3 linked regions of the Mus musculus genome follow. The protein of the gene in region 3 interacts with the protein of the main gene of each other region in a pairwise test. Links are inferred from orthologs where the notes say so. Each region holds a gene or a part of one and is shown on either strand. Other genes may lie near its edges.

What was found. The genes of interacting proteins can lie anywhere in the genome.
Region 1: the proteins of Mybpc3 (region 3) and Actc1 interact in a two-hybrid assay, tested with the Homo sapiens proteins (2 studies listed by IntAct). The link is inferred for Mus musculus from reciprocal best matches to the Homo sapiens genes MYBPC3 and ACTC1.
Region 2: the proteins of Mybpc3 (region 3) and Myh7 interact in a two-hybrid assay, tested with the Homo sapiens proteins (2 studies listed by IntAct). The link is inferred for Mus musculus from reciprocal best matches to the Homo sapiens genes MYBPC3 and MYH7.

Annotation. Positions count from the first base shown.
Region 1 is NC_000068.7:114,048,558-114,055,674, reverse strand, and holds the start of Actc1 (actin, alpha cardiac muscle 1), read left to right. Parts: upstream 1-2,799; 5' UTR 2,800-2,913; intron 2,914-3,614; 5' UTR 3,615-3,643; coding exon 3,644-3,772; intron 3,773-5,061; coding exon 5,062-5,386; intron 5,387-5,998; coding exon 5,999-6,160; intron 6,161-6,314; coding exon 6,315-6,506; intron 6,507-7,117. UniProt on the Homo sapiens protein: Actins are highly conserved proteins that are involved in various types of cell motility and are ubiquitously expressed in all eukaryotic cells.
Region 2 is NC_000080.6:54,990,232-54,997,718, forward strand, and holds the start of Myh7 (myosin-7), read right to left. Parts: upstream 4,319-7,487; 5' UTR 4,280-4,318; exon of another isoform or gene 3,395-4,279; 5' UTR 3,357-3,394; exon of another isoform or gene 3,129-3,356; 5' UTR 3,073-3,128; exon of another isoform or gene 2,651-3,072; 5' UTR 2,643-2,650; coding exon 2,442-2,642; exon of another isoform or gene 2,153-2,441; coding exon 2,009-2,152; exon of another isoform or gene 1,764-2,008; coding exon 1,607-1,763; exon of another isoform or gene 1,513-1,606; coding exon 1,485-1,512; exon of another isoform or gene 970-1,484; coding exon 861-969; exon of another isoform or gene 778-860; coding exon 685-777; exon of another isoform or gene 575-684; coding exon 511-574; exon of another isoform or gene 173-510; coding exon 74-172; exon of another isoform or gene 1-73. UniProt on the Homo sapiens protein: Myosins are actin-based motor molecules with ATPase activity essential for muscle contraction. Forms regular bipolar thick filaments that, together with actin thin filaments, constitute the fundamental contractile unit of skeletal and cardiac muscle.
Region 3 is NC_000068.7:91,119,302-91,125,988, forward strand, and holds part of Mybpc3 (myosin-binding protein C, cardiac-type), read left to right. Parts: coding exon 1-128; intron 129-676; coding exon 677-775; intron 776-854; coding exon 855-962; intron 963-1,050; coding exon 1,051-1,199; intron 1,200-1,723; coding exon 1,724-1,841; intron 1,842-2,218; coding exon 2,219-2,267; intron 2,268-2,430; coding exon 2,431-2,460; intron 2,461-2,600; coding exon 2,601-2,654; intron 2,655-3,038; coding exon 3,039-3,041; intron 3,042-3,334; coding exon 3,335-3,346; intron 3,347-3,553; coding exon 3,554-3,717; intron 3,718-4,584; coding exon 4,585-4,717; intron 4,718-4,973; coding exon 4,974-4,976; intron 4,977-5,082; coding exon 5,083-5,207; intron 5,208-5,285; coding exon 5,286-5,391; intron 5,392-5,475; coding exon 5,476-5,642; intron 5,643-5,957; coding exon 5,958-6,123; intron 6,124-6,644; coding exon 6,645-6,687. UniProt on the Homo sapiens protein: Thick filament-associated protein located in the crossbridge region of vertebrate striated muscle a bands. In vitro it binds MHC, F-actin and native thin filaments, and modifies the activity of actin-activated myosin ATPase.

The DNA.
Region 1 (7,117 bases), about 23 Mb from region 3:
AATATAACAACATGAAAATATATGTTGCTTTAAGTGTTAAAAGACTAGTTGAGGTCTGATAATAATTCTCGGCAGGTAAAAGTGAACTGTGCAAGACAGATGGCCTGAGATCAATCTCTAAGGTTCATGTGAAGGCCGAAGAGAAAACCAGATGAACCAAGTGGGTCTCTCAACTTTCTCCCATACTCTGACACCAACGCCTCCTCCCTCCAGAGACACTAATAACAATAAATATTTTTTAAAAAATTAAAATATACTCAATGGACCATAAAACATAGTTTTAAAAATGTCTCAAGGATGCGTATTACCTCCCAAAGGTGGTCTTCAGCGGACTTAGCTCTGCTTCATTAGGACTCACAGACTTGGAGTGGGTAAGCAAGCCCTCGGAACACTGCAGAGGGTCAGATCAATATCACCGGTCCCAGTTCCAGAGAACTTCGGCACACACACAGTGACAGGAATCTCTCATCAGCCTCTGTCAAACGCTTGCACGCAAGTTCAGGAACTTCAGATCCATTCTACTTTAGAAACAATTAGGCCACCTACAGTCTCAGCGCTCAGGAGGTAGAAATTGGGATGTCAGGAGTTCAAGGTCATCTTCTGTTACCCATTTTGTAGGGGGGCTTATCCTGGCCTATATGAATATATTTCAATGATGCCAAAAAAAAAAATAAATAAAACAAAAACTTAAATGATATTTCAAAAAAGGCTATCTGTGAAACTCCATTTAGATGCTTTCTGGCCCATTTCTAAATAACCCAGTGAAACCACCTCTCCCTTCCAAGGATGTTCCACGTCTCTGACTTCCACAATTACCACTGAGGATAAATCCTGTTGTGTGCTAGTTACCACTGAACTCTGCTTCATAATCAATAGAACATTGTTGAATGGAGGAATGAATGGTAGTGACCCAATTTTTCCAAACAGAAAGCTAATCCCACCTCTAAAAGTATCGAATGGTGACAGAGCAGGTTCAGTCTGTCTTGCGTCTGACTTACATTGCTTGTCTCTTTGTGGGCCAGTCCTCAGTAACTCAATAGAACTGAGTTACTATGCCACTTTTCAGGGGGGTGAAAATGGGGTCTTGATGAGTTAACTGGCCTGCCCGAGACCAAACGTGCGGAACGTAGTTAAGTGTTAGAGGTAGGATTTGAAGCCTGTCGATCATTCTGATTCTCCTTTTCTCTACGTCTGCTTCCTGTCAATGGGCATCCTCACTGTCAAATGCAGATGGTACAGCAGGGCTTGGTCTCAGCCAGGCAGGCCTCTCCCCAGTCTCCATGGCTCAGCTGTCCAGCAGTTTCATCCCTAGACCATCCCAAACATGGTTGAGAAGCTCTGAGGGGAGGACCCAGCACTGCCCGGCCCCTGAAGTATCTAATCAGCAGTCCTGCTCAGCATATCAATCCAAGCCCACTCTAGACAGAGATGCCGGTGCCCAGTTTTCTATTTTTAACTGGTGTGAACTGAAGGAAAAGCACAGCATTAGAAGTCCAAGCACTAGTCAAGAACCAAGAATACAGGGCACCCCAGGGCAAGCTAGTGACCTGTGTCCTTTTCTCTCCTGTTCCTTCCCCCTCTCTTCACTGCTATCTTTCTGTTTCATTCTGAAAAAAAAAAAAATGCAAAGTTCCTTCAAAGTGTTCTCCACGAAGGAGATGACTCCCGTTTGTAGCAATGCTTCTCACACTTTCAATGCTAATCATGGACATCTTATCTTGCCATACAGTAGATCTGACTCTGGGGCGGGGTCAGGGATACTGTATTTCTAAATCACTCAAGTTATGAAGATGCTGTTTATCTATGGTCCACGCTTCGTGTAGGAGGGTTGGTAAATTCTCTTATCCTAAGTGGCTATGAACTTCTCCACAAAAACATTTGCTTTTTAAGGTGGGTCATTACCTGGGATGAAGAACTTTATCAAAGCCTGTTTAAAAGATGCCCATCTATCTGCCAGCAAGTAACTGAGATATTTTTGGTATCAGTGCCTCCATTTATTTTAGCATCTGAAGACCCGGTGGTGGCTCATAGACTGAAATCTGATTTTGAGCAAAACTCTTACAGAGTGGATGAGAACTATTTGGCCTCTGGGCTGGACTTGGCTAGACCCTCAGACAACCCTTCTCAGCTTCTTCTCTGCCAACTCAAGACCATGTCTGCAGTGGGTCCGAGACTGGTGAATTCTGGCTTTCCCATCTAGATGAGCATAGTCCCAGCTCAGGCTAAAGGAGACCAGAAGATGCACTACCCAGGTGCCCCTTTTGCATCCAGGTACTCAAATATCCTGTCAAGCTGCTCTTTGTGCCTATGACTCTGCTCCTCTGTCTCCCAGTACTGGAAGATGAGAAGCTGCTGTCTGTCCCCTGCAGCCCCAGCCCAGCTGTCAGGACCCTTCTCCAAGGGCAGGGCGCCAAGTCTTCCGGCATTGTGTGTGTGTGTGTGTGTGTGTGTGTGTGTGTGTGTGTGTGTGTGTGTGTGTGTGACTCATTGTCCCTTAGTTTGGAAGGGCTGAAGAGCAATAAGCCCACTCCACAACTAGGGAGCTCCCCCACCCCAAGGGGCGCATTGGCATCACATAGCCTTTCCCCGTCCCCCACCCCTTGCTGGCCTGCCCCTCCCTAGCTCCCTATATGGCCATTGCTCTGACTGCCCCCTCCCCTTCCTTACATGGTCTGGGAGCCCCCTGGCTGATCCTCTACCCTGCCCTTGGCTCCAAGAATGGCCTCAGCGGTCCTAGATGGTGCTAAGGCGACCAAATAAGGCAAGGTGGCAGATCAGGGGCCCCCCACCCCTGCCCCCGGCTGCTCCAACTGACCCCGTCCATCAGAGAGCTATAAAGCTGCGCTCCAGGCGACTGACACCCAGTGCCTGCCACCAGCGCCAGCCCAGCTGAATCCAGCCGCCCCTAGCACGGTGAGTCCCAGCCTTGCTCCCTGCAGGACCTTGTCAGCACTGTGCTTTTGTGCTCTTGGATCCCACACTCTTAGTTTTGGAGGGTTTTGTTGTTTTTATTTGTTTGTTTGTTTTAGTTTTTTTTTTTTTTTTTTTCGTTTCGTTTCGTTTTGGTTTGGTTTTGTTTGTTTTGTTTTGTTAAGCAAACTTTTTGGTGAGGTTCTGACTTTTTGTTGTTGCTCTGGATCTCATGAAACCTCCACAGCACAAGAGCTCACTCCATCTCACCTCCTGAGCTTTTGTGGCTTCACTGATCTTTAGCACTTTCACCCAGTCCCCATGTATGGCTAGGGAGGGAGAATGGGTTTTCTGTTGGTGAAAATGTGGAGAGCTGAAAGGAGCTGAAAGGAAAGGACTTCCCTGTGCTTAAGAACATGGCTCCTTGCAGCCCAGGGTGTAGGGTGAGCCTCTTGACCAGAAGAGCGTGAGTGGGGTCTCACCAGCCTTCTGTCATCCACAGGGACACTCTCCCTGCTTCTCCCAACGCTTTTAGCTTTTTTTTTTTTTTTTTTTTTTTTTTGGTCTTGAGCATAAAGAAGAATACAATTGTCTCCTTACTTTCTACAATCCAATAACCCCACTGGGCCCTTCCGTCACTCTTCCCTCTAAAGGAGCAGGCCAGCCCTGCAAGCACTGAGTGTGGACCACTCTTCTTTCCTTAGCCTACAGAACCCACCAAAGCTGTGCCAGGATGTGTGACGACGAGGAGACCACCGCTTTGGTGTGTGACAATGGCTCCGGGCTGGTGAAGGCCGGCTTTGCGGGTGATGACGCCCCCAGAGCTGTCTTCCCGTCCATCGTGGGTCGCCCACGTCACCAGGTAACACTCTCCGTCCCTCCTAGCCTGCTCTCCATCCATATTCTGGGCCCCTTCTTGACACCCCCCCCCCTCCAGTCCAGCAATCTGTGAAGTGCCTCTCTTGACCTGACTGTTCAGAGACTCCTTAAGTCATACATGAAAGGCAATGATGAATTACACATCCAAGCCATCCCACGCAACTCCCTGCCAACCTCCAGATTCCAAGAAGTCCACTGCAGTGGCACACCTGTTGATGGGTCAGCTCTCTCTTGTGAAAGGCCACCAGTTTCTCATTCTGGACCTGTGGGTTTTCAACTGCAGTGTCCTGTGTCTCTGAACCTGGATTTCTTTTTGGCCCTCGGCCCTTCGTCTGTTCAGTTTAGTTTAAACAATGGAGCTAACTGCTAGTAATATAACTACTTGGAAATAACTAGTTCCCGATCTACATTCTTCCTTCTTGTTCACAGCCAGTTTTACAGGACTCCCCAAAGCTGTAATTGATCTCCTTCCTGGGTGTTGCATTTTTAGAAGTCAGATGTGACCAGAGCAACAAGTGCCATAGCGATAGTGGCATTCCACCTTGTTTATTAAAAGAAATGCCACACTCGCTGGGTTTGTCGCATGCTTGGCCAGACAGGCTGCCAGAGAGCAGAGCTAGAGTCCTCAGGCTTGGCCAGTGAAGGCTACTCCAGGATACTCTGAGGGTTTGACTTTCCATCTGAGAGATAGCAGCCTGTCAGCCTATGTACAGTGGATGAGTGTCAAAATCTTTTCTTAAGGGGACTAGAAGATGTAATGACATCATTAATTCAGTTGTGCCAAAAGACAGCCATCTACTTCTTAGGTGACATCAGTGATAGGCTTAGTAATTTAATGAAGTCATTATGCTATTCCAAGAACAAGATAAGACTCTGCTTCCTCAGTAAATCCTTTATTCTCTCCTCCACAGTTGTAATCAAATTAATCGACACACTTCCTCTTGTGGAGATGAAGTATATAACAATAGTCTAAATAATTTGTTAAAATTAGGATTATGTCTTAACTCCTGGGGGTGGGTTTCACACTATGTCCCAGGCTGCCCTGGTACTTGACTCTATAGGCCAGGCTAAATTTAAGCTGTGGCCTGTTTCAGCCTTCTGAATGCTGGCATTATAGGCATGAACAAGCATGCCTAACTTTCAAATTCTGCTTTTACTTTTTCTAGTATTTTACAGCTATTCATTGCCTCGAGAACTGGATATAGCTTAACAAGGCCAGGACCATATTCTTGCCTTGGTGGGAACACGATATTCTCATCTCCTTTTTTACAGGGTGTCATGGTGGGTATGGGACAGAAGGACTCCTATGTAGGTGATGAAGCCCAGAGCAAGCGAGGTATCCTGACTCTGAAGTACCCCATTGAACATGGCATTATCACCAACTGGGATGACATGGAGAAGATCTGGCACCATACATTCTACAATGAGCTCCGTGTGGCCCCAGAGGAACACCCAACCCTGCTCACTGAAGCCCCGCTGAACCCCAAGGCCAACCGTGAGAAGATGACCCAGATCATGTTTGAGACCTTCAATGTGCCTGCCATGTATGTCGCCATCCAGGCAGTGCTGTCTCTGTATGCTTCTGGAAGAACCACAGGTGTGTTTGGGCTAGGGGACGGTCACTGATTACGTATATTCTCAACTCACTGACTTTGCTGTGAACCCGAATCCTCACCTGACACAGGGAAGGTCCCCTCCCTGACTCTCTCTAGCAAGGTATCTATGCTGGGAGAAAAGGGTAGCAATAATTCCCTGAGGCTAATTTCAGGAACATTTACTGTAAGAGATCCAATAACCCGTTGAGTTAGCTCTTCTCCTTATTTAAGATATGTGATATGCTGTGTTCACAGCCCCTGGGTAGACATATTCAAGGACACACATTCTCCTGCAGAGTCTGAATTAAAACAGAGAGACACATCTTAAGTTGGATTGGCCCCAAGAAAAACACTCATGGATGCTTATATAACATGCTAATAGCTGATAGGAGACATAGCCATTTGAAAATGTCCCCAGGAAGATTTCCTACCACGATACTTAGTAAGAAAAACTGTACTGCCTTCAGAGTTAGTATCCATCCATTCTGGTCATTTTTATTCTTTGCATTGAGGGATTTGATTGTTTCCCATACCTAGGCAGAAGCCGGTTTCTCTATGGCTGAAGCAGTGGTTCGAAGTGCTTCACCCTCTTATCTATTTTTTTTTTCTAACAGGCATTGTTCTGGATTCTGGCGATGGTGTAACTCATAATGTTCCCATCTATGAGGGTTATGCCTTACCCCATGCCATCATGCGCCTGGATCTAGCTGGTCGGGACCTCACTGACTACCTCATGAAGATCCTCACTGAGCGCGGGTACTCCTTTGTCACCACTGGTAAGTGTGTGTGTGTGTGTGTGTGTGTGTGTGTGTGTGTGTGTTATCTGACACAGCATATGCCTGTTGCTTTTGCTTCATTGGTAGATAGACCTACTTCCCCATATTTGATCCTTTCTTCAGAGCTTGACTATGAAGCCCTCTGTCTCTGCAGCTGAACGTGAAATTGTCCGTGACATAAAAGAAAAACTGTGTTACGTCGCCCTGGATTTTGAGAACGAGATGGCCACAGCTGCATCTTCCTCCTCTCTGGAGAAGAGCTATGAACTTCCTGACGGCCAGGTCATCACCATTGGCAACGAGCGCTTCCGCTGTCCAGAGACTCTCTTCCAGCCCTCTTTCATTGGTAAGGGATGGCTTTTGGTGCTGAGCCTCAGCTTCTCTAGAAATTCTGCAATCACCCAGAGTAATACCCATTTCACTTAGAAGCATGGCAGGGGTCTCGAGTCAGCATCTGCCATCTTACTCAGCTCAGTCTCACCTCCTGATACCTCAGTAAGGAGAAAGACCAAGGCGCTCTAGTGAAAAATGAGGCTGTTACACCGAGTTTACCTCACAGTAGAGGATGAGACTGAGCAGTTAGTGAATAGAGCATGCCTGATTACTGAAGAGAGCCAATTTATTCTAATAAGTTCCATTATTGATAGACTAGACTTAAGTCAGTTACCATTCAATGCAACCACAACTCTGTTCATTTTGGTAACTGAACGCTTGATGTCACCAAATAGCTTTCCTACAGATGAAGCTGGAATCTGATTTTAGTCCATAAATGAAAAGTATGAGCCAGGTGTGTTAGCTCACACCTGCAATCCCAGTACTCAGAAACTGAGGCAGGAGTATTAACTTGAGTTCAACTTTTGCTTGGGCTACAGAGTGAGATTCATCTCAAAACAAAACAAAGTAGGCTAATTTTCATTTAAACATGTGTCATTCTTTTTGTGATATATCTCCATATTC
Region 2 (7,487 bases), on a different chromosome or scaffold from region 3:
ATACTGCCTGAACCCAGTCTTAAGCAGAGAGGACCAGGTTGCCATGGAAATAGCTGGTCTCAGTCTGACTCACCTAGAAGCTCAGGCTTTTTATTAGACAGGATTTGGTAGAAAATGTGATAATCTCTTTCTGCTTTCAGCTGGAAAATAACCCTGGATTTTTCCAGAAGGTCTGTGAACAGGCAGATAGGAGAGGAATGAGGTTAGATACAAAGAAGTCAAGGGGAAGGGACGGGGACCATTACAAGCAAAGGACAGAGGGAGAGACCAGTGTATGGATACAGAGGTCACACATGAAGGTGGAAACAGAGACCCAGAAGGGAAGAAAGCATCTTAGAGAGAAACCCCAAAGAGACATGCACTGAGAGCAGACAGGAGAAGCCAGAGAAAGCCTCAGGCAGAAGTAGAGACAGAAAGAAAAACTGCATACTGCAGGAAGAGGTTGGGATCGGGCTGTAGAGCCAGGATGGACTCAGCCTAAATAAGCCCCAGCAAATTCATGGAACTTACAGGTCTCTATGTCTGCAGATGCCAACTTTCCTGTTGCCCCAAAATGGATTCGGATGAATTTCCCCTGAAGAGATGGATGGGAGAGAGAAGCAATGAGCCTGGGAAAGGCTCACATTTGAGGCCATCCTTCGAAAGCCAGCACAAGTCCCAAGTTCAAGGTGGAGTATCACTCACAAATCGAGAGGAGTTGTCATTCCGAACTGTCTTGGCATTGCCAAAGGCCTCCAGAGCAGGGTTGGCTTGGATGATTTGATCTTCCAGGGTACCCTGGAAGAGGTCAAGAAGGATGGGATATGAAGGCTGCCTACTCTTTTTCTGTAATGCAAGCCTTTACATGACAGCGGGCCTACCTTGCCTGGGGTCTGGTCCTTCTTGCTGCGGTCCCCAATGGCGGCAATAACAGCAAAATATTGGATGACCCTCTTAGTGTTGACAGTCTTCCCAGCTCCGGATTCTCCGCTGTTGTGACAAGCAAAGGCTTAATAGGCAGTAAAGACACTGGTTAAGACCAACGAGCCTCAAGCGAGGGAGAGCACCTAGTCTAGTAGAGAGAAGGTGCTCAGATCAGGAAGTTGTTAGGGACTGGGACATAGGATCAGGTTAACCAGCAGGAAGACGGTGCCACAGAGGACAAGGAGAGGAGAGGGCAGTTTGGGAAGAGTAAGTGGGGAGGAGAGAAAAGGTTTCTAAAGTGAAAGATAAGGAAAATGAAGAAAGGCGATACATGGGCTTTTCCAAATGAGCTTATACATGAATGAAGAGTCAGAGGGAAATGGGTGAGGAGGCAAAAGGAGAAAACAAGAGAAAGATGGAAAACAGAAAGGGAGAGAGGCACAAAGAAAAGAGTTGGAGCAAAGACCAGAGAAGAAAGAGATGGGCATGTGGGTGGAGAGAAAGAGGGCCATAGGTGCATGCAAAGGAGTCTGGGTACTCTCAGGGGATTCTGGGATCAGGGATTCTGGAGCTATACTCACGTGATGAGGATGGACTGATTCTCCCGATCTGGAAGAGAGAGGAGGAGAGGCAATGGGTTGAGGGATGCGAGTCCAGGTGAGAATTCAGGTTGAGGGGACCCAGGTCTGAGCACCAGGCTTACCTGTCAGCATGTACTGATAGGCGTTGTCAGAGATGGAGAAGATGTGAGGAGGGGCCTCGCTCCTCTTCTTGCCCCGGTAGGCAGCCACCACTTCCGCATTGTACACAGGCAGCCACTTGTAGGGGTTGACGGTGACGCAGAAGAGGCCCGAGTAGGTCTGAGGGTAAGGAAGAGCAAGTGAGGGGTGGTTGTCAGAATTAGAGAAAGACCCCAGGAGACAATGGGAACAAAGGGCGAAGCGCAGAATCAGTCTGGTTTTATAACGGAGCCAAAGGAGCAGGGGCTGGTGTAGAGTGCCATACTCCTTGGACACAGAGCAGGCAGGTAGGTGGCTTGGCTTCAGGAGACTGCTCTTGCCCAGGAAGCTCTGGGTTCTGGGTGATGGACCGGTGCTGCACTCACATAGATCATCCAGGAAGCGTAGCGCTCCTTGAGGTTGTACAGCACAGCCGGCTCATGCAGGAAGGTCAGCATGGCCATGTCCTCGATCTTGTCGAACTTGGGTGGGTTCTGCTGCATCACCTGGTCCTCCTTCACAGTCACCGTCTGGAACAGCCCACAGAGGCCCTCATGTCAACCTGTGTCTGCCCTGCTCTATCGGCATGAGGGCAGCACGGCAAGGTATGGAGTTGGGGGCAGGGGGGGGGTGTATAGCTGAGGAGAGACTGGAGTTAGATGTTGGGAGTAAGGAGACTTTTGGGAGAGTTTGGACCCCCACCCTACCCAAAGGACGGGAAGCTTGGGGGTCCTCAGGTGTGCACGCCTGTCCCCTCTCTGGGCACCCTAGGTATGGGGCTCTCTTGAGTGGCCTCCCCACACCAGTCCCGACACCTACCTTGCCATTCTCCGTCTCAGCAGTGACTTTGCCACCCTCTCGGGACACGATCTTGGCCTTGACAAACTCTTCTTTGTCATCGGGCACAAAAACATCTTTCTTGAGGTCAAAGGGCCTGGTCTGTGCCTCCAGCCTCTCCTTCTCAGACTTCCGCAGGAAGGGGGCTGCAGCCCCAAATGCAGCCATCTCTGCATCCGCCATGGCTGAGCCTGGGGTGAGGAGCAGCTGTTACCTATATGCCTTCCCGCACCTTGGGCTCTCCCGCTCAGTGGCAGCTCCCAAATCCAGTACTGTGCTCAGCACTCAGGAGTTTACCCTTCTCCAGGCTCACCCCTAAACCAGAGAGCAGCCTGGCAACTGTGCCAAGGCAAGGGGGCAGCTTTACTTTCGTTCACTTGGAGCACTCTTTGAGTGTGTCCTGACCGTATTTCGGGGAAAGAACTCTGTATCAATCTCTGACTGTCAATAGTCCCTGCCCCTCACTGGCCCTGAGTATGAAGCTTCTGGACACCAGGCCATTGTCTCTGAGCAGGCAGAAAGGAACCTGCCAGGCTTTGGGCTTGGGGCTTTGGGCTTTAACTATGTGCAGTTTTACCAGATCTCCCAACATTTGGACTCCAACTTTTCTCACCTTGGATTCTCAAACGTGTCTAGTGATAGAGAGGTAAGCCCAGGCCTGTAGAAGAGCTGGAGAAAGGGAAGAGACGGTGTCAGGACAGGCTGTGGCCCAGCCTGGCTTCTGGCACCTCCCTCCTCTCTGGCTCTGTTCTTCAGCACGTGGAAGAGTGATTAGCAGCGCTGGTCAGCCTTTCTGGTCACTGGCATCCTTCCTTTTCAAGCTCTATCTCCTTTCTCCCAAAGACTAACAACCTCCGAGCCCCAGTCCTCCGCCCTTAGGGGCTGTTCTACCCTTACCTGTACTCCTCTGCTGAGGCTTCCTTTCTCGGAGCCACCTACAACACAACAATAGTCACAATGCACTCTTGCTGTTCACTCTCGCGGCTGCCCCTTGGGTACGTGAGGAAGTGGAGGCTGAAGCCTTACTTTTCTCAGAGCACAGGACAAGTAGCAGAGTCCAGATTTCAGACTCGAGCCTCATGATTCCAACAGCCCTCTGACTACCCTCGCACACCCCAGCCTCCCCTGCACACGCCCTGATAAATACACATGCCTTCTGCTTGTGCCCACACTTGACGTGAATGTAAACTTCCTTCCATCCTCAGCACACATGCTCCCCACAGTGTTCATGTGCAAACAGCCCAGCACATAGGCAGGCTCCTGTGGCTGCGTGTTCTTCAGCATACGAAGACCAGAGCCCCCCACACCTGCATGTCTGTGAACTGCTATTTCAGAGACTACACGCAGGGTCATATCCTACATAGTAATAACCCCTCTATGTACAGTCAGACACTTCCCCAAACATAGGCAGGCTCTAGTGTTCACAGAACTGGCTTCCTTAAGAGTTATTCTCCATCATTCTGTCCCTCTTCTGCCAAAATGCTTGTAACCAGGCATGAGGTACCTTATGTGATAAAATATAAACTGATCCTTACATTTAAGATATGTGTGCTTGTACTTGCGCACGCACACATGCACGCACATGCTCACACACTGCTATTGCATTCTGGGCCATATGCACATATAGATATCCACCCCCCACCTTGGAACACTTGGGCTCCCACATTCCTACGGCACAAGCATGCGTATTTAGATCTGCACAGGAGTGTTCAATGATAACCTGGTACTACATGCCAGAAGCCCGCTGCTGTTCTAGAGGAATCACTTCCTGAACCTGGAGCCCCTTATCCCAGAGGGAAGCCTCCAGCTCCCACTCCTACCTGAGGGTAGCAAGTAAGGAAACAGCAGGAGAATGCTCAGAGCCAGACCTGGTCTCAGGGGCTGTATATATGGGGCAGCAGGGTGCCCCATCCCCCACCTGCACCCAGTCCCTAGCCAGATTTAGAAAGGGCTGTTGTCACTAAAAGCATTTCCCCCGACTCTCCCCCCCTTCCCTTGTCCAAACAGTACTCCCCCCTCCTCCCCCAGCTAGGAAACAATTGGAAGTGGTCGTCATTGTTGTGGCATGGCATGTTCAGGGTCTGAGTTCCAGGGGGTGGGGCAGCTTAAAGTGAAGCAAAAATATCTCTAACATTCCACGGCTCACTAGAGAGTAAGCTGACCACGACCACCACGACCTCAAGCAGGCAGGGCCCTGGCTGGCCTGCAAGAGGGTCCTGCTGACCCTGGCATTGCTGCCCCCTTAGAAGCCTTGCCCCCAGTGCTAGCCTGGCCCTATTTCCAGTATCCTCCCCACACTCCTGGCTTGAGTCCTGCATCTGTCTGAGGTGGGAAGGGGTTGGGTCACAGCAGCTGAGAGGGGCAGGGCAGAGTTGGGGGCATGGCTCTGGTATGGTGGTTGGATTGGAGCAGATAGAAGGTAGTAGGTTCCTGTTAGGACCAGAGAGTTTGGACACAGGAATTCTGGCTCACACACTGCTTTCCTTGGGCCAGCAGGCAATGTGTCCCTGGGATCATGGTGCTTCAGAGCCAGGCAGATCTTTAGTGATCCATTTAAGTGCTTTGCTTTAGGGGGTGGGGGTGGGGGTGGGAGATGCTTCCTCTAAGATTGCACAGCTTCAGCGAAGCAAAAGTGGGGAACCTCAGCAGATAGGAAGTTGATCCCAATCAGGGGAGGAGGGCTAGGGATGCTAAGAAGTATGCCAAAGCTGTTTGGGGAGGAGGACCAGTTGCTCATGGTCCTGCTTTAGAGCCCTTTCCTGTTCTAGCGCTGCCCTGCAGATTTTCGAGGCGCAAGGCCTGAGCCTCCCAGGGTTACCCAGGGCTGTAGATGATATGGCTACGGCTGCCTGGTCCACCTGGCCTCTGTCTAGCCGTGGGTGCAATCTTTGTTCTTCCTAGTGGAGAGAGGGACAGGACAGGAGAGACCTTGTCTTCCCCTGCAGGCCCCGGGAGCAACGCTGGCACCCAGCCTCGTTCTTGTTCTTCCAGCTATAGAAGCTTCACTGCTCGGTGTCTAGGCAACAGACTCAGGGTTTAGTTTGAAATCCCCTTTCTTCCCAAACACAGCTCTGAGCGCATGCGGATTAATCCAGTTGATTAGATGTCAGTTTGAAGGAGAGAGGCAGGCCTGGGGGATGGGCTGCCAGCAAAGCAGGTACATTGTGAAGGTGGGGTAGGCATGGCAGGGAAAGGAAAAATCCAGGAAGGGCTTCTGTGGGGTTTCTTGGTAACCAAAGCAGGGGTAAGGATGCTGAGCAGCTGTGTGCAGTGTGCAGGGGGAAGGCAGGGGGAAGGTGGGGGGAGGACCACAGACTGTAGGGGCTGCACCTCAATGCAGCTGCAGCTCCGCAGTCCTCAGAATGCAGTTGCAGTTGCTGAAGAACTGGTCTTGCGACCCTGCCAGGTATTAATAGAGCAGCCTCCCTAGGAGGAACCTCCAGGGCCGAAGGAAGGCTAAAGCTCTCCCAGGCTCTTCTTTTTTTTGGGGTGGGGGGTGGTTTGAGACAGGGTTTCTCTGTATAGCCCTGGCTGTCCTGGAACTCACTCTGTAGACCAGGCTGGCCTCGAACTTAGAAATCCACCTGCCTCTCCCTCCCAAGTGCTGGGATTAAAGGCGTACCACCAGGCTCTCCCAGGCTCTTCTAGCTTTCCCAACAGAAGAAGGTGCCTTCCCGCCATGCTCTGGGAGAGGGCTCAGGCACAGGTGCACGCACTGAGATGGATAAAGAAAGCTTGGGACTCAGGCGAGCCATTTTAAAGCCAGTGTCTTTGAGTGGGGCCAACCTGTGTGGCTGTGGGATTAGGTAGCCATCTCTACAACTTAGCCACACACCCTTTCCCCCTTCTTTCAGGTTTGGAGGGCTTTGGTCTAAAGGTGTTTTTGGAGTATTGTTCTCAACTCTGCAAGGCAGAATTTAAAAGCCAGTTTCCTAATTTTAAGATCTCTGTCTCATATCCCAGATGTTTGGCCTCCTGCTTGCTGCTGTTGGCGGTTGGGTGGCTCTTCCCATCCTTTCCTATGTGAGTATTCATTGAGGGCCAACTTTGAGCTTGGCACTGATGTGGTCAATGGAGATACGTAACAATGAACCAAAGCAAAGACCCCTGCTCCGGGAGCTTTGTCCAGCTGATTGTAGCAGTGGACCCAGGCTTCAGAGTACAGCTTGTGCTTTGCATGCGTGCGTGACATTCCTAGTGGAGAGAATGGGGGCCCGAACCCATGTGAGGAGTGGGTGGTGATGTGGAGCACACTACAGAGTGACAAGAGACAAGACAAAGGGGCAGCAAGTGCTATAAATAAAAAGGGAGGCTGCTTCGCTGAGGTCGACCAAATAAGGCCTGGACAGAAGGAAGGTGATCCGCCTCCCGAGCCTCCCCTCCCCAGGCATTGTGCCTGCTTTGTCTGGGCTCTGTCACCACACTGATCAAATGTCAGGTCCAAATAGGAGCCATTTGCTGTGAACATGCCAGTGGAGACCAGCGGAAAGTTTGCTAAAATTACTGCTGGGAATTAGGGGGAGGTGGGGGTCTGCAGTCTTGAACTAAAGGAGAACTGAGCGTGGAAAGAGAATTCTGAAAGGAATCTCAAAACCCAAAGGGAGAGGCTCAGGAGGAGGCAGAAGAGGTAGGGCGTCTGGCCCAAGGGGAGGAGGAGGCCTTAGTTGTCTGAGAACAGGAGAGGGGACCCAGGAGTGGTAGCCAGCACTTGCCCCTAGCTGCCTGTATCCCCTGACCTTGGAGAACCTATCCCTGGCTCCACATGGGCCAGGATTAGGGAGCTGAGCTAGTCTCTCTCAGGTTTCTCTTTACAAGCAGCTGCTCCTTCTTGTCATTCTTTTGTACTCCGCTGGTTCCAAAATGCTTTGTTCTCTGCATACTCAAAACACCGCCCACTCAATACACCAGGCACCCCAATCTCGACTTTCTGATAGACAGGGACCAGCTGGGGAGGCAGACCAGTTTCAATAAGAGTCTATTAAGCAGGTAGATCTCTCCTTCAAGAGTGTTTGGAGAGGGCACTGTGTG
Region 3 (6,687 bases):
TGGTTTGGCAGCAGAGGGCAAGCGACACACACTGACAGTGCGGGATGCGAGCCCTGATGACCAGGGTTCCTACGCGGTCATTGCAGGCTCCTCAAAGGTCAAGTTTGACCTCAAGGTCACAGAGCCAGGTAAGAGCTTGCTGACCTCGCCCCGGGGCCCTGAACTCAGAGTCCGGGGCATGGACTCTGGGCACTGGCAATGCTGTAAGCCAGAAATGCCCGTTCTGCTCTTCTGCTCCAAGATCTCTCTAAGCATTAGTTGTGGCTGCAGCTCTTTCTGCACTGTGGAGGTGGGAACCCGAGAGCGGTGTTCTAGGAAGGGTCCACTCCCATAGCAGACCCAGAGCCTGGTCACCCAGATAAGGACTTGGCTAGCTGTATGTGTTAGTGGGGAAATCCTAAGAGCTTGGTGGTGGTGGTGCTGGGTCAAGGCCAAAGCTCGGAAAGGGACAACAGATGGACCACAATGCTGCTCAGAGCAGAAATCTGGACATGGGACAGGTGGATCGTGAGTGCTGGAGGACGAGAAGCAAGTTGGCTCCTCTTCTTGGAGTGAGGCCAGTGGCTAAAAGAGCCTAGGATACTGCTGTACAAGTGGAATGTATCTTAGGTGGGACATAGGTCTGATATCCGAGTGGAGGGCTCTAATTAGAAACTGTTCCATGACCCCACCTCAGCCCCTCCAGAGAAGGCAGAATCTGAAGTTGCTCCAGGAGCCCCCAAAGAAGTCCCTGCTCCAGCCACTGAGTTGGAAGAAAGTGTCTCAAGTCCTGAAGGTAAAGAGGGCTGGACAACGAGGGACAGGCCAATGGATGGGGAATATCCCAGGACAGACCTCAAAAGCCTTCTTTTCAGGGTCAGTCTCGGTAACCCAGGATGGCTCAGCTGCAGAGCATCAGGGAGCCCCTGATGACCCTATTGGCCTCTTTCTGATGCGACCACAGGATGGTGAGGTGACCGTGGGTAAGTGGGAACTTTGTGCTCATACTCGGGGTTAGGGGAAAGGAAGCCCCAGAGGACCAAGGTCGGAGAAGTCACCTTTCTCTTGCAGGCGGCAGCATTGTCTTCTCAGCCCGAGTGGCTGGGGCCAGCCTCCTGAAACCGCCTGTGGTCAAGTGGTTCAAGGGCAAGTGGGTGGACCTGAGCAGCAAAGTGGGCCAGCACCTGCAGCTGCATGACAGCTATGACAGAGCCAGCAAGGTGGGACGCCTGGTCAGGGGCATGGGGAGCCAGGGAGTACAGGCATAGGGAGGCTGGGAGACTGGGAAGCAGGGCAGAGCTGAAATGTTCAGCCATACCAGCTGCACACTGCACAAAACAGCTCCCAAGTGGAGCCACCTGCCATCTGCTTGGACTTCTATCATGGTCATGTGCAGGCAAGAGCCCGTATGGGTCTTTTATTTTATTTTTTTTTTATTTTGTTTTTTGAGACAGGGTTTCCCTGTGTAACCCTGGCTGTCCTGGAACTCACTCTATAGACCAGGCTGGCCTTGAACACAGAAATCCGCCTGCCTCTGCCTCCCAGAAGTGCTGGGATTAAAGATGTGCACCACCACTGCCCACCCCATCATGGGTCTTGAAAGGTGGATGCTTTCTTTAAATTATAGAAGCGCTCTGTATGTGTCAGCCCTGAGAAGTGAGCTTGGCAGGCTTTGCCACACCCCTTCTCTTTAGGGACGCAGGGCCTCTCCTGTCCCAACCTTCCTTCATCCTCCTGCTCACAGGTCTACTTGTTTGAGTTGCACATCACAGATGCTCAGACCACTTCTGCTGGGGGCTACCGCTGTGAGGTGTCTACCAAGGACAAATTTGACAGCTGTAACTTCAACCTCACTGTCCATGGTGAGGGAGTCCTGGGGTCTCGTCTGGTCTTGTGGTCTTCATGGGTCCTGGTCCCTTGGGCTTGTCTCTATCTCCCAACTAGAGAGGGTGACTAGCTGTGGCCAGAAGCCAGTGCCGGTCACCCGAGGTGTGAACGAAATGCATGCTTTCAGGAGAATCGTGGGAGCAAGTCAAGGGTGGGATGCTGTTTCTGTGTCCCTGCCTCACACAGTTTGAATGTGAACTGGGAGGTGAGTGGGAGGCAGCCCACTGTGGAGACTGAGATGAGAAACTGCCTCATCTCTCTAAATATGAACCCTGGGAGAAGCTGAGAAGATGGAGTCTTGTGCTCCCACTCCCTGAGGTCACCCCCACCACTACATTCTCTTTGCACACAGAGGCCATTGGTTCTGGAGACCTGGACCTCAGATCAGCTTTCCGACGCACGTGAGTGGCTCTCTTTCCTTGGGAATGGGGGTGGGGGGCGGGGAGACCAGTGTGAGGGCTGAGGGCCCTTGACATTTTAGATAGACGCATGTGGGGGGTCCAAGCTGAAGTCTGTGGGGGGCAAGGGCAAGCTGCCAGGTCACTGAGAAACTAACTTCCACAGGAGCCTGGCGGGAGCAGGTCGGAGAACCAGGTACCCTTCCTGTCCTCCATCTATCCCATCACAGAGATGGGTGGGAGCCCCACCTGACTGCACCCCTTCCTCCTATACCACTCCATCGCCTAAGCCCCTGCTAGCTCTTCAGAGAAGCCTCATGGGGTCTCTCTCTTCAGTGACAGCCATGAAGATGCTGGGACTCTGGACTTTAGTTCCCTGCTGAAGAAGAGGTGAGTCCTTGGGTCACATCTTCTAGGGCAGAGATTAAGACATGGCATTGAGATTTCCAAGCTGTGTGTCCCTGAACAGAATGAGGCACTTCTCTGAGCCAGTTTCCTTATCAAGGGGGAATCTTGTCCCAGTGTGGACAAGAGTTGTCTTAATAACCATCCTTAGTCCCAGTGTGGACAAGAGTTATGTCTTGTGCCCCTCAAAACCTCCTGGTGAATCTACCATAGACCATTTCCACAGATTCTGAAGGCCCTAAGAAGTAGGAAGAAGGTTCCCAAAGCAGTAGCAGTAAGGACCTAGCCCTGACTTCATTTCTTTTTCTGTCCTTTCTTTCCCTCTCTCTCCATCTTCCCTTCATGGCTACTGCTGCTGCTCCTGCCCAGAGAGTAAGGCGTGGGGCTGGGAGGCTCTGGGTCTTACAAGAGGATTTTAGCTTTGGGGACATGTACCCTTTCTGCTGGGGTTTGGGGGAACTCACACACACCAGGGTGACATTCTTAAGGCTTGGAATGGCTCTGACACTGTCTGGTTTTATGAAGAATGAGACTCCTGCCCTGAAAAGTAGGGGCACTGTATGGGGAAGAGGGAACAAGTGAAGGCACTGGGAAGGATCCCAGTCTTGGCAGGGAGGTGTCCAGACTTCTAATGTATGCCTGTCTTTTTCCTTCATCTGGAGCAGCAGTTTCCGGAGGTGAGTTGAGGTTGGGCCCTCCTCAACACCCTAAGCCAAGAGTCCTCCCTAGTTCAACACCCAAGACTCTTAGACTGAGAGGGGAGGAGAGGGGAGGGGAAGGGAGGGGAGGGGACGGGAGAGGAAGGGAAGGGAAGACCTCATCCTGTGTCCTGGAAGGGACAAGGAGGGACTGCCTTGAGCTTCCCAGTGGGCTGTGGGACACAGGGACTCAAAGCTGGAGGCACCTGCTGAAGAAGACGTGTGGGAGATCCTGAGACAGGCACCGCCGTCAGAATATGAGCGCATCGCCTTCCAGCACGGAGTCACAGACCTTCGAGGCATGCTGAAGAGGCTCAAGGGCATGAAGCAGGATGAAAAGAAGAGCACAGGTTAGCCCTTTCCACACAAGGGAAAGCACAAGGCACCAGCTAGCTCCCAACAAAGGAGCCGGGCTGGAGAACAACACACAAAAACCTGTAGTATGGGCAGAGGGAGCCTCTGGGGGCAAGACAAGCAGTGGTAGCAAAAAAAACAATTTAAAAAAGAAAAAGTTCAGCAAGGCACTGCATGTTTTACGTAATTGCCTAGTTAATTCTCCCAACAGCACTGCCAAACAAGGCATAGTATCAGTTCACTTTTACAAGTGAGGAGACAGAGACACAGAGACTCCAGGAACTAGCTCAAACCCCACAGCTGTCTTCAGGCCCAGCCTGAGTATTTGAGGGCTTCTGCACAGCCCTTCAGCTGCAGAGCTGTTTTTACCAACATGGCTGCAAGGGGAGGCATTGTTGTGAGGTGGCCCTGGACTCCTCCATACCACACATTGGTGGGTTTGTGGCCTTGGGTCACCCGCCTAAGCCCTGTTCTATCTCTACAACCTGAGACCCATGACAATGATCTGGAGAACTGGGAGGTATGGCGCTAAGGGAGGGGAAGCCAGCAGGGATGCTACGGTGAGCTTGGCATTACCAAGAGGAAGAGAGGACGTGTGCTACATTCCTAGCTCTCACAACAAGCTTCTATCATGGTGGATGCCTCTAGCCCTGCCCAAGGGCTGAGCAGTTAGAAAGAACCTCAAGGAAGACAAAGCAAGACAGACAGAGATGAGAAGACAGGGTCATTATGGAAACCCGGAGGGTGTGTCTGGGATACGCAGCAGGGGGAGGAAGATGCAGGCACCTGCCATAGCCGCTGTGGTTGTGCTTGGGGGAAGGGTGTGGGCATTGGGGGTAGCTGGGCTGAGTTGTGGGGTTCAGCCTTTCAGAAGAAGCTGGAGCCTGCCTACCAGGTAAACAAGGGCCACAAGATTCGGCTTACTGTGGAACTGGCTGATCCGGACGCCGAAGTCAAGTGGCTTAAGAATGGACAGGAGATCCAGATGAGTGGCAGGTGTGGCAGAGGTGGGGCAGGGTTCTGGGTCCTGGGTCCTGGGTCCTGGGGTTAAGGGGGAGCCGTACTGCCTTGTATATTTCTGTGAGATCTCTCTGACTCTGGCTCCCAGTCCCTGTTTGTATCTTCCCCCACCTTTGGAATTTAATTCCAGGTCATTTATCAATTTCTCTCTCTCTCTCTCTCTCTCTCTCTCTCTCTCTCTCTCTCTCTCTCCTCTGTGTGGAACATGGCAATGGCCCCTTCTGTTTCATAGCAAGTAAGTCTCCTCCCCGACAGCTTGAAGCAGCCATGGGGTTGGTGAAAGTCACCAAGCCCAAGAGGGGCATCCGTGCCCTCCTGATATGCTGCTGTGCCCTGCCCAGGTACATCTTCGAGTCCGTCGGTGCCAAGCGCACCCTGACCATCAGCCAGTGCTCACTGGCTGACGACGCAGCCTACCAGTGTGTGGTGGGGGGCGAGAAGTGCAGCACGGAGCTCTTTGTCAAAGGTGGGCCAGGGACCAGGGAACCCTGGGAGGAAAAGAGGCCACAGGGGACCAGCTCTTATGTCGCTCCTCCCTGGACAGAGCCCCCGGTGCTGATCACTCGGTCCCTGGAAGACCAGCTGGTGATGGTGGGTCAGCGGGTGGAGTTTGAGTGTGAGGTCTCAGAAGAAGGGGCCCAAGTCAAATGGTGAGGGCAGGAGCATGGGGGTGTGAGGTGGGGCTGGAGAGGGGGACATCTGCCCAGAGGAGACACTGTCCCATGCCTGGCCAGGCTGAAGGATGGGGTTGAGCTGACACGTGAGGAGACCTTCAAATACCGGTTCAAGAAAGATGGGCGGAAACACCACTTGATCATCAATGAAGCAACCCTGGAGGATGCAGGACACTATGCAGTACGCACAAGTGGAGGCCAGTCACTGGCTGAGCTCATTGTGCAAGGTGAGGGCCCCTAGCCCAAGCCTGGTTGGCCTCATGGAAGGAGCAGGCTTTGGGATAGTGTTTGATACCATGACCTCAGCTTCCTATCTGTGAGATAGGTATGCTGAAGTATACCCTGCAGAGAGTGTTAGGAGGTCAACCCCTGAACCTGAGTTTCCTGTATAACTATAATATCAAGACACACATGTGTGTCCCGTAACTGCACATACCTAACCAGAGGCCTGCATACCACTGCCTGTGAGCCCACATGTCCCCACAGAGGACCACACTACACTCACATTCCCCGGGAGCTCACAGGCTCTGCCCATCCCCCAGAGAAGAAGTTGGAGGTATACCAAAGCATCGCGGACCTGGCAGTGGGAGCCAAGGACCAGGCTGTGTTTAAGTGTGAGGTTTCAGATGAGAATGTACGCGGCGTGTGGCTGAAGAATGGGAAGGAACTGGTGCCTGACAACCGCATAAAGGTGTCCCATATAGGCCGGTGAGTGAAAAAGAGTCAGGTTAAGGAGGGAGGCCAGACGACTCATGAAGGGAAGAGAGAAAAAGAGAGGAAGAGAAAGTTACAGAGGTCAGACATGGGAGGGAATCACATGGGAGTCACCCAAGACAGAAGGCAGAGATACAGAGGCAAAGGTTGGGAGACACTAAGGGTGAGGTGCCCTGCCATTCCCCAAACTGGGCAGTGGCAGTAACCACTGAGGAGGTGGCACTGGCTCATCCCAGAGCCTTTGAGGGCCGTGCTGGGCTCCAGTTCAGAGATTACCCACATCAGTGTTTGCCTGTCTCCAAGGTCCCTGACATGGGGTTGCCCCTGTGCAGACATCACGTCTGCACTGCTGACCTCAGAAAACACACAAGGGAGCTGGAAAACACAAAATTTGATAAAGTAGCCACAGTTTAAAATATGAGGACACTAAGGAGCTAGGGTAAGGCACAGCTCCCTGAAGTTGGGGGTGGATGGAGAGGCCAGGGTTGTGAGCTCAGTTACCACTGCCCTTCCAGGGTCCACAAACTGACCATTGACGATGTCACACCTGCTGATGAG